2 linked regions of the Drosophila melanogaster genome follow. The protein of the gene in region 1 interacts with the protein of each later gene in a pairwise test. Each region holds a gene or a part of one and is shown in the gene's direction. Other genes may lie near its edges.

What was found.
Region 2: the proteins of CG7856 (region 1) and Kat60 interact in a two-hybrid assay, tested with the Drosophila melanogaster proteins (one large-scale study listed by BioGRID).

What each region holds. Positions count from the first base shown.
Region 1 is NT_033778.4:6,056,639-6,061,490, reverse strand, and holds CG7856 (uncharacterized protein), read left to right. Parts: upstream 1-1,932; 5' UTR 1,933-2,055; coding exon 2,056-4,107; 3' UTR 4,108-4,134; downstream 4,135-4,852.
Region 2 is NT_033777.3:5,226,789-5,234,051, reverse strand, and holds Kat60 (katanin 60), read left to right. Parts: upstream 1-1,842; 5' UTR 1,843-1,983; coding exon 1,984-1,995; intron 1,996-2,738; coding exon 2,739-3,059; intron 3,060-3,426; coding exon 3,427-4,030; intron 4,031-4,223; coding exon 4,224-4,345; intron 4,346-5,215; coding exon 5,216-5,775; intron 5,776-5,861; coding exon 5,862-6,060; 3' UTR 6,061-6,763; downstream 6,764-7,263. Other genes in the region: Mms19, read right to left, coding at 1-259, 318-667, 878-1,261, 1,326-1,410; Vps37B (vacuolar protein sorting 37B), read right to left, coding at 7,138-7,263.

The sequences.
Region 1 (4,852 bases):
TTGGAAACATATAAATCATATAACATATAATGTTATGATTATACACATATCGTCCCATGTTCCATTTTCCGTCCATATGAACGCTGTGATCTCGGGATAAAAAAAGCTAGAAAGTTATGATTTAGCCAGCAGGACCATTCCTACTGTCTGAGTAACGGATATCTGATAGTCGAGGAAGTCGACTACAGCGTTCTCTCTTGCTTTAAATACACATATTTGTGTTTATTGCAAGGGTATCTAAGCTTCGACTTATCGGCGCCATCTTCTTTTCAGGTTGTGTATTGCGTTTTATCCGTGGCCTTGCCGATGCCAATCTCTTTTGCCGAGGCATGGGTAATTTTCGGCAAATAGAACTCTTGCCCAGGCTCAAAAGTCTTAACACATGTCTTGGGGAGAATTGGAGTAGAAAAATTGTAACACATGGTTAAGCACATTTAATCGTTGGGGTCTTAACCTTTTAATTTTATCACCCGCTCAACTTAACATATTTAAAAGGGTTAGGTTTTGAAAGATCAACTGTTTTGGCTTAAAGGTAAAATCTGCTCTTTTCTTGACTTATTCATCTTGTCCACTATAAATGCACTTCGCGAGTCAACTAAAAAAAGAGTCCGAAAACGTCAAATAGCTGCTGGCAACAACAAAGAATATGTCAGTCTTTTTTCTAAATCAGGAAACTTTTTCTTTCCTGTATCAAACTTTTGGATAGGTTTTTCACGAGCGAAAGCGGAAAAGTTAAATTTTCCGCTTAGTCCTAGCCGTAGACAAGCCATTTCATTTAAGAGGCCATCCCATGGGATCACTGGGCAGGCAACAGCCATCAACAAGAGAAATGATTAAACTTGACTGACCAGACACGCGCCTTAATGTCGTCAATTGACCTCAATCAATTATACACAATATTTTTTATTTGACCTTCGTTTATTCCATTAGAGTTTTTTTTATTTGTATTAAAATTCGGCGATGTGACTGTAAAACGCATCTGAGGCAGCCATTTGGCCTAGGAATAACATTTTTTCATGATTTAGCGTTGTTGTACGAGCTGAATTTGGTATGTGCTAGATAAAAACCAGCCGTTAAGCAATTTCAAATGTCGGGACACGGGTGAAATAAGCATTTGCCACCCGCAGTCAGTTCCGAGCAGGGGATGTCTTGGATGCCCCGTTGCGAGCAACCGCTTAGCAAAAGGCAAAGCCAGATATTATATGTTATCACCAGCGATGTATTACTGCTTCTACAGCACAGTGACTCAATATACAAATAAAGGTGAGAAAAAAATGCGATTCTCCTTTTTTTGACTTGTGCAAGAGCTTTTGATTTTGGAAACGAAACGTAGCCCAGAGAGACAGGGTATGGCGTTCCGTTGTATTTCGTGTTAGATAAATCATAAAGCAAAAATAATTTAATACACTTGCGTGCCCTGGTTGTAGCTCTGGCGACGAGGCGTATGTGCAATGCGGCGTGTCGGTTAATCATTTGCTTCTTTTATGAGCAGCCAAGCCGAATAATAAGCCTCAAAGAAAAGCGAGCTTAAAGGTGCACCTCAAACTCTGTTAAATTCACGGCCTATCACGACGGCACGACCCAACGCTCAACGCCAACTCATTATTTCCCCTGCAGCTCTAATTAGAGTCAAATATAACTAGGGGGCCTTGAGGACCCCGTACGCTAGCCTTGGCCATATTTAATGCGAGCTGAAAGGTCCGCGAGTTATGCAAATTTGCCCCGCCCACCGAATGCTCCGAACATTGACAAAATTATGCGCAATCGCGGGCCAGTCTCTCGGCTACCAACTTCCGGCGACAAAGTCAAGTCATGGATGGACATCCTGACCTCGCCCGCGGGTCCAGCCATTAGTCGTCATTAAAGATGATTGAATGCGAGCCCCGCTTTTGCATTGTATAAAAGGGGCACACTCCTGGTGACAACAGGGTAGGTAAAGTTGCCTTGGCGTCAGTTGGCAGTTTGGGAAAAGCCTACACACTTAATATTTCGATAGATACACTTATTTCGCAATCGTAGAAGATACCACAAATCTCTCTTCCGTAAATTATAAGTATGTCCAAGAGGGTGAGCATCATGTTGCCCGACGAAATACCTGCGGCTCCGTCAGGCAGCAGGAGGAACCCGATGCCCAGCCGCACACTCAAAAGTTCCATTAAAAGTGGATCAAGCGCTCGGACGCAACCCGCACCGCCAGTGTTCGTGGTTGTCAACCCGGAGAGCAGCCAAAGCTCGCTTACCTCGGGTCAGCGGAACAACACCAGCACGACCAGCAACAGTTCCCTTAACCAACGAAATAAGGAGCACTCCGCGGCGAGGTTGTCAGTAACCGAAGATACGGCAGCCCTGGACAGCAGTGCCTTGCTTCAAGGTGGATCCTCAAACTCTCGTGATACAGTTAACTTCGATTCGACCTCCACCTCGATCAGGATGTTCCTTAAGAACACAGTGGGCCTTGTCAGGGCAGGAGAGTCCTTCACATCTGTAAAACATCTCTTTCACAAGTTCATCAAACGCAGCGGTTCTGTGCCAAATTCCAAGCGTTCGTTGACATCCTCCTGCTCCCAGGCGGTAGATGAGGAAAATCCCTATATGAGCAAGTCCAATGATACGCTTCTGACGGACTCGCCCACCCGCACTACTGTGCCCAGCACCTCCCAGATAACGCCCACCTCACATTTCTCCAACTGCTCATTCAATAACACGAACTACGACCTTTCCAACCTCCTCTCTGACATCACCCCTTTGACTGGCTACACGCCAGTGGGTCTCACTGAGGAGGCTGACTACCGAACAGACACTTCCGCAAACACCGCATTGAACAGTGTGACATGCAATTTGGCGAGCTCGTCGGAGAATCCTTTGGGAAGCGGATTCGACAACAGTCCCTCGAAGATTTCTACCGATCAGGAGAAGATAGCGGACACACAAGGACGTCCTACTTCCAGAAATCGCTTTAGCAGCAAATCTTTTCGCCAGAAACTTAAGACCTCGCGCTCTAGTTCACCCAGAAAGTCGCCCAAGATGTCACCTCGAAATAAGCAGTCAGCACCTGCAATGGAACCCATATTTGCAATGGTTAGTTCATCTGGGCCTAACTCTTCTGAGGGATCACGGCGATCGAGCAAATCGAGCCTGAGGCGGAAGCAAAGTCCATTACCCAACGTAACTGCCAAAATCTCGGCCACCTCTAATTCAAGAGCGGACTTGGCTAAAGCGCCCAAGTCCAGGAAAGAAACCACCGCCCGATCAAACCTATCAAGAAAGAGCTACCGCCGGAGTTCACCCAGAAGCCGAAGTCGAGGTTCTCGGGCAAACGCCTTAGAGAGCCCCCTTCAAAAGAGCGAGGACACCCCCGACAATGTAGAGTACGCCTTCGCTCTGGTCAGCCCTGAGGAGGCGGGGAACAGTCAGCCTGAAGAAAGTAGTGCCGGTGTCGAGGATGCCTCCTCCAAGTGCGAGACATACCAAAAGGATTGCAATTGCCACCATTGCCAGGACATGCGTCGGGCGGTCAAGAGGTCCGACTTTTTCAAATCTCCCGAGGGACAGAAGCGGCTAGAGGCGAAGCTACTGGCCAAGAACTTCTTCATGGACCTATGCGTAGCGTCAGAAGTGCGCCGACAGGCTCAGTCCGATCTGCATGGAAAACGACGTCCTCCATCAGCGCGTCTCAGTTACCCGGTGAGCATCTGTGGAGCGTGCAGGCTGAGCGGAGGCTCGCTGTCGTTGCATTGGATCACCCATGACCTTGACAGCGTAGACCACTTCGACGTTTTTGTGGACAACGTGCCAAACCGTAGTGTCTACAACCGGCAGGCCACCTCCACCGTGCTCGTCGACGTGAACACCACCGAGACGCACACGCTGCGCCTACGAGCGGTGCCGGAGCGTGGGAGCCGTGGTCAGGATTCCTCGGTGGACAAATTCATGTCGGAGGTGGCGGCCGGGCATATGCGTCACGTCAGGCAGGGCCAGCTCTTCGCCACGTGCTTCGCGCACCTGGACGCCCGGCCGCAACAGCGTTCACTGGTGGATTTCTGGACGGACAGCGAGTTCTTGTACATGCCCACCCGCGAAACTCTTACGCCTTCAAAGGCTCGCTGACTGGCGAAAATAAACTGATTTATGAGCAGCAGTCCGTTTTGGGAGTGGATATGCGGCAGGAACAGCTGCGTGGGTGAAAATTGATTAGGCTAATTTAGAAGTGATGACCAATCGGCGCACTAAACTCTCAGTGCAAAAGCAGTGGCCCGGCTCCCACCTGCACCACGTTTTGCGAGATATTCAAAACGAATCGTGGGCCTGGTGCGGCCATCAGTCAACGAGACATGGGCGCTAAGCATCCCGCGCGTCTTTATCAGTGGCTTGCAGGCAGGCTGGCTTGGCGTGGGGGGACTGGTACTGACGAAGGCGTTTCGCGCTGATCTGTCAGAGATTTTGGGCCGCAAAGTGGCATGATTAATTATTTGGCAAATATTTGGATTCCGCGCTCTCAGCTCAGCTGGCTTCACCATGGAAATAAGGAAAACCAAAAATATGCGGACTGGCACTTTCATAGAGGAAAGAACGGGCGAGAAACCCAAACCGTTCAGTATTTTAATTAATTTTCACTTTCGTTGGGGACTAGTGAGCATTCCATCGACAATGTGATGGACAGCTGTGGCAGCAGTGCCAACAGTGCTCCCTCGAGAATCAGAATCTCCCGTCCACGATTCACTGGGCGCGTTCTGATTGAAGCGTTTTGCATTTACTTTGTTTTGGTTTCCCTTGGCGCGTGATTGGTTCCGAAATAAACAGGGGCCTACTTTTATTATTTGGATAATTTTCAATTATCGCTGTTATTTCCCGA
Region 2 (7,263 bases), on another chromosome or scaffold:
TCCCGGTGGCAGGATGGAAGAGCCGCTGATTGACATCGCTGAGATGCGGTAGAATTACGCCCAGAATAGAGCTCTGGTAGCTGTGGCTTATATCCGGTATGTGAGCAGCTCTCTCCAGGAGCGCAGACAACGCCTTAAGGGAAGCTTTCAGTATCTCCTCATTGTCATTTCCTGGAAAAGTCTCTGTTTTCAGAGCCTGCCATATCTGATCGAAGTGCGGCTCCAGAACGGAAGGCGGGAACTTCACGGCAGCTTGGTGCTGTAACAATAAATAGCATGTATAAAAAGAGGCATTTCAAAATGTTACGTTTTCTTGCCAGCAGTTCTATGGAGTCCAGTTTGGCAACCAGCAACTCACTCTCCAGCTTTTCTATGGCCAGTACCACTGTGCCCTCAGCGAATTCGTTGTTGGCTACCAGGCAGTTAGTCAACTTCTTGGACAATTCATCACGGGTTATGGCCGCTGGATCCTGCTTGCTGGGATTAAAGTCGATTGGAAAGTAACACGCAAAGATCTCAAACATCTCTTCGGCCAAATGCAGCAGCGGATACGTTGACAAGAACTCGGGCATGAAGCTGAAAATGATGTCAAGGTTGCGGGGGTCACGCTCGCCGTCAATGGAATTGATCAGGCCGTAGACGAAGTCACCGGCCATCGCTTGCAGCTCTGTATCGGGAAGAAAATTGATTTGTTTGAGTTGTAATATTGTGTAATATTTTCTAAAAATAACGGAAATAAAAGGTACTAAGATTGTCGCAAATATCTGTTCGACTAGTTAAAATCATCTAATTATAACTTTTTTGCACACTGACTTGTTTAAATCGGATTAAAGCAATGTCAATGTATCTTTCATGCTAAAATGAAATCAGGGCTCACCGTCCTGGAAGTTTTCCGTCAAGTACTGGAAAATGTGGAACAGCTTGGTGCGGTCGCTCCGCGTCTGCGACTGGCAGGTGGTGTGCTCGAAGAATGACTGCAGAATCTGGGGAATCTGGGCGCGCGGTAGAGCTTTCATGTGAACCAGGGCGTCGATTCCATCGATAATGGCTGGCATTACGTTGTGATGGTCGCGCAGGCGGTCCATGTAAAAGGTGCTGAGGAACTCCAGCTGCCGCTCTTGCAGCAGATCCTGGGGCAGTGCTATCAACACGGCGGAGAGCAAGTTGGTTCCGGCCACACGCTCCTCCATGTCCGGAGAGGACAGGGCGAAGCCCAGTGCCTCGGCCAGAGCAGATATGTCATATGCCTTGGCGGTCAGATCTGGAGGAAACAAAGAATCTCTATGAGAAGGGCACATTCGACACGGATGCGGGTGTAAACCTGCCCTTGGCTATCTGTGTGGCGGAATTCACAAGCTTCTGGTCGCTTTTCAGAGCCTTTTCCAGGGTGGCGCGCGTGGGCGTTGTCATTGCGGCACCGTCGCTTGAGTGGTGTCTAAATTTAAATGAGTTTAAGCACGTTAAGCCGAAATGTTAAGAACCGATAACCGATGACTTGTCGTACTGGCCTTATCTATATCACAGCGATGCCAGACTGGTGTTACAGTAGTGCAAATGTTTTAGCGATTAATATAGCTTTTATTGCAGTGGCGCTCAGGGATGGTAATGTGTGGCTCGGAGACAAATTCTAGAACTGGAAAATATACTTACATATTGTATATTGATTTATAATCGATAGACACGATACGGAGATTTTCTTTTTATTTTCTTGTAATTCGTTGTAAATTTAGAAATATATTTTTAGCAGCTCTGGAAACAATCGATAGTCGCCGACTGTTGCACACAGGGAACGCAACAGGGTGGTCAAGTGTCCGCGCCGATGTATCGATAAGCCCCGCATCACCAGAGCACGCACATCACTAGTATTACAAACACAGGCAGGCAGCAGTTTATTTTAGCTACCGCAGCACCTTAAACTCTGAATTAAATAGTTTACGCATTCATTTTGCGCTCGGAACGCCGCGTAACAAAGCTAGTACACTAATGTCCATAACCGTAAGTCGCCCGCGAACTGCTCAGCTGCAATTGTAGGTGTGCGGCGGCGAGACGTCAGCGCTGCTGTTGTTGTTGCTCTTGTGGTTGCTGCAGCTGCAGACGCCCCCACATAGCTGGAAATAAAATAAGAAGCATAAGAATAAGAAATACGGTGAAGTGTCGAATGCAAAGTGCAGTTTGCTGTGTCCAGAGGCTTGCAATTAACTCAAATTCTATTTAGATCGCATTAATTCGACCCATTGTGCGCCCGTGTGCGTGTGTGCGAAAGTGTGTGTTGTGTGCCGCTGAAACCTGAGCTGAGTGTGCGTGTGTGTGTGCGAGCGTTAATTTTGTTGTTTTTACTATTGTGTTTTTTGTTTTTTTTTTTTTTTTTGCATACGACGATTTGAGTCGAGTTGAAAGAATCATTCAAAGCCAACAAGGTCGAACGCCTTATTCGGCTCATAACTACCTAATACATTTTCCAATCGGCATTTGGCCCACGTCCCGCCTTGGAGGCGGAATTGAAAATCGGAGCGCGTTGCGTTTAAATTTGGTGACAAGTCGGCGGCTGTGCGCCTGATAATTTATAATTAGCAGCTCACTTGGGTCGTTGCCACTGGCATCTTCTATTATTCGCAATTGTCGCCGGGTTTTCCACTTTATTCGCTTCTGGCTGGGAGGCGCACTTTCCATTTTTACCTGCAAGGCGAGCCAGCGAATGACGAAGTCGCTTCCGTTCTATTGTTCCCCTTCCCACCCAGCAACACTTGGAGAAACTCACGCACTCGAGCGCTTTAATTGGAACTAATCTCTGTCTCTCGTTTTTGGCTACAATGACGACAACCTGTTCCGATCGCCAGTTACTGCGAGGTGGCAAGCAAAAGACAACCACTTGCGTAGGAATGACCGTAATGGCCAAGACTACGTTTGAAGAAATATGCGAGAATGCCAAATTAGCACGGGACATGGCTCTGACGGGCAACTACGACTCAGCCTGCATCTACTATGAGGGCCTCCAGGGGCTGCTCGCCCGCCAGCTGAAGGCCACCGCGGATCCGCTACGCAAGGGCAAGTGGAGCATGGTAAGACATTCCTATCACCACCTCCAGATACTGTCAACTACCATGCCAATGAATGCGAATGGTGACGGTTATGACAAACAAAGGACTTAGTCATAACATCTTGTCAACGCCATTCAAAATTGCCCAAGAGGTTTTGTGTAAACGAGTTATCTAGATCGTTAACGTGCATATAAAGATTTAATTTAATCAGAACACTACCGAATGACTAAAATTTGAATTACAAAGTAATTTCTAGCACTACTGGCACAAAGTAACTGGCTAAAACTCCAATAGATCATAATAAACCAAGTATTTTCAAAAAGTTTAATATTTACCATACCGGACGATTTCATTGACATCATTTAACTAACTGATCTTCGATTTGCAGATCAACCAGCAGATTAGCCAGGAGCACGCCAAAATCAAGGCCATTCAGAGAACCCTACAAGACATCTCGCTGGACCTACAGTCAACCAAATTTGCACACAAGCTGCGACACCAGCTCAGCGAAGAAAGCACCACCAGTAAAGATCCATCTGCCTGGTTCAAGCCGGACCCCGACATTTGGACGCCTCCGCCCAAGGATCCAGATGTGTGGGGTCCGCCGAAGCCACCACCCACCACTCAGGCCGTTGGCCGAAGAGCCGCACCGAACAACCGCCGCACCACTCCGGCAACGCAAAACAGCCGCCCCAGCAGCACAATCCCGCAGAGCACTGCCCGGAATGGTCCGGCCTCGACACGCAATTCCCGCAACTCAACGTCCGCCACAGCACCGAGCGGCGGAGCACGCACCACCAATGGAAGGGCTGGCGGTCGCAAGCTATCCACATCGAACACCAACGAGGCTAGGGACGACGACTCCACCGCTGCAGGCAACAATGGCGGAGCGGCTGGCGATGGAGAAAACGGCGATCCGCAGGCCGCCCAAGAGGAAGAGCGCAAGTTTCAGCCCAACAACCACATCGAAGCCGAGCTAGTCGACATTCTTGGTAGGTGCCTAAATCGTTGCCGCAAGGTTTGCCTCGTTCAAAATTTGGTGATGTGCTAGTCTTATTTATTAAGCAAAGCTAATGCATTACTCTACTTGCTTTAAGATTTGTGGCTATTTCAAAAATGGTAGTAGTTATGAAAATTTGGGTCTAGTATAGCTACATTTATTACATGCCAACGCTCTCTTTTCAGAACGTGATATTCTTCAAAAGGATCCCAAAGTGCGCTGGAGCGACATTGCCGACCTGCACGACGCCAAGCGGTTGCTGGAGGAGGCCGTCGTGCTGCCAATGCTCATGCCGGACTACTTCAAGGTGCGTCACCCCCGCTGTTTGTTTTCTGTGAATCACATTCTGCCAAACGCTTATCTCGCGATGGGTCAACAAACGCGCTTTATTATAGTGCTCAGGGCAATGTGTATTTGATCAACTATTCTGAACTGTCACGAAATGCATCGCCTTGCAGCTTTATCCCTCTTAACTAGGTGGTGGAACTTGTCAACACATTCTACTTTTACTTGGGGCGGTTTAAAAGTTTCCATTGTTGAAATTATGCTGATTATGATGTACCTCTATCTATGTTATCTTATCAAACTATGTGTGCGTTCAAAAGAATATCGATCCATAATAACCTGTCGAAAAAAAATAAATAATTATGTATATATTATGTATATATATGGAATGCTGACCATGTGTTTCTAACGCCTTTAAGTCACATTAAAAATCACTGATCCAAACACCTGAGACTGAGCTCGATTGCTATGTTGACCGTGTTGTACCATATATGTAAGAATATTTGTTGTTTTCAAATATTTCCGTCCAACAAATATTTTCCCCATCTAAAATGTGGATACCATGAAATTTTGCGTGGGCGAAAGATGTTTGAAATGGGCATCAGAGAAGCCTACAGCACCATTTTTCGATTTACCATCTTACTGAATAAACAATAGCAAGAAAGATAGACTTAACGTGGATAGTAGATAATTAGATATTTATGTTTGATTGGAAGAAATGGTACTCACTTCTCCAATGTAGATTATTTAATTAATTAGAATTAGGCAAATGACACAGCCTAAAACAGTGGTTCAGATCAAAACAATCGGAAAGTATACAATTAATATATACTGAAAGTTTGTAAACATTTTAAAGCAAAAGTACATAATCACTTCTTGCTTTCTACAACAGGGTATCCGGCGACCGTGGAAGGGCGTGTTAATGGTGGGACCTCCAGGCACGGGCAAGACAATGCTCGCCAAGGCGGTGGCAACCGAATGCGGAACTACGTTCTTCAACGTGAGCTCGGCCACGCTGACGTCCAAGTACCGAGGTGAGTCGGAAAAGATGGTGCGGCTCCTGTTCGAGATGGCCAGGTTCTACGCGCCCAGCACAATTTTCATCGACGAGATCGACTCCCTGTGCTCGCGCCGAGGATCGGAATCAGAGCACGAGGCCTCGCGACGAGTGAAGTCTGAGCTGCTGGTCCAAATGGACGGCGTGGGCGGCGGAGAGGAACAGGCCAAGGTGGTCATGGTGCTGGCCGCCACCAACTTTCCTTGGGACATCGATGAAGCGCTTCGGCGTCGTTTGGAAAAACGCATTTACATCCCACTGCCATCGGATGAAGGTCGCGAGGCGCTGCTCAAGATCAATCTCCGCGAGGTCAAGGTGGACGATAGCGTCGATCTTACCTACGTAGCCAACGAGCTGAAGGGATATTCCGGAGCTGACATCACAAACGTGTGCAGGTGAGTTCAGAATACACTAATTTAAAATGGCGTAGTCAGTTCCAAATCATGTCAATGGAATAAAATGCGTGCTCTTCTTTTTCCAGGGAGGCCAGCATGATGTCGATGCGGAGAAAGATCGCAGGACTGACCCCAGAGCAGATTCGGCAGTTGGCTACGGAAGAGGTGGATTTGCCCGTTTCCAACAAGGATTTCAACGAGGCCATGAGTCGCTGCAACAAGAGCGTGTCCCGGGCAGACCTGGACAAGTACGAGAAGTGGATGAGGGAGTTCGGATCGTCATGATGGCGCTGCAGACGCGAATGGCTAGCGATTGTAGGAGTATATTTTTGAATAGCCTTAAACACGCGCTTAAGTCATTAAGCTTTTAAAGTGAGAACCGAACCGATCCGAGCCGAACGGAAGAGTTGAACATATTTTATATATAACATTTTGCAAATACGATACAATCTATATATTTACATATATACATTGAACCGGAGGCCGTTGGAATTAGAAAAGACTAACCGCTCTCAAAGAGGAAACACAAATGGAAAACTGAAATTGAAATTGAATTGCAATGAAGTCGAGAGATAGGCAATACGTTTATGTATACATAGCGAAAACCACCCACACACTCCATGAGCACAAACCTTCCAACAAATCGTTAACCCACAATCACACTATATGCAATAAGGAATCGCTTTAATCGCCGCCTAGCCTTGGCCTCATACTCCCACAATATGCACACTCCAATCCGTATCATTTTTTATCGAAAGTTTTTATTTTAACAAGAAATGTCCACTGTCTAATATTAATGTTAATTTTCGCTTAATTTATACTTTCACATATACATATATATCATAGTTTAGTGCAGGCAGAGATGTGTGTACCAGAAAGTTCCCTCTGATTTGCAATTAACCCACTGTAATCAGAAGATGAAACTGAAGCAATATGTACTTAAAGAGAGGATTCTGAAATTTTAAACAATAAAGAAGTTTTTAACTTTACGGCATTAAGAGTTGTGACTTTTTTGGGTGCTTTCTGCAAGGATAAATAAGGATAAAGGTCTTGCAAATGATGCTGATGATGTTATGATTTGATTATTATTACAATTAAATCACTGTTACGAAAATGCTGTGATCCCCAAAGAGAATTTATATCTAGATACTAAGCGGATGTTGCATTTGTATGACACAGCGGTAATTAATCTTTTCTAGAAATCAAGAGTCAGGGAAAAGCACTTTATTATGAAATCCAAGAACGTTTATCTGATGAAAGCACCCTTCGTTCACCGCTTACCAAATGTACAAACTTGCCTGCTGCAGACTGATGCGCCATGGCAGTTAATTCGCTGAGGACCAAGGACCAAGGACCAAGACCTCAGTACGGTCTGGATGGCGGTGGCATGGGCATCAGGGGACCCATGATTGGGTAAGGGGCGGAGCCCCCAGACGCGGGATAGAATCCGCTGGAGGGCACGTTTCCGTAGGCTGGCAGAGAAGTATT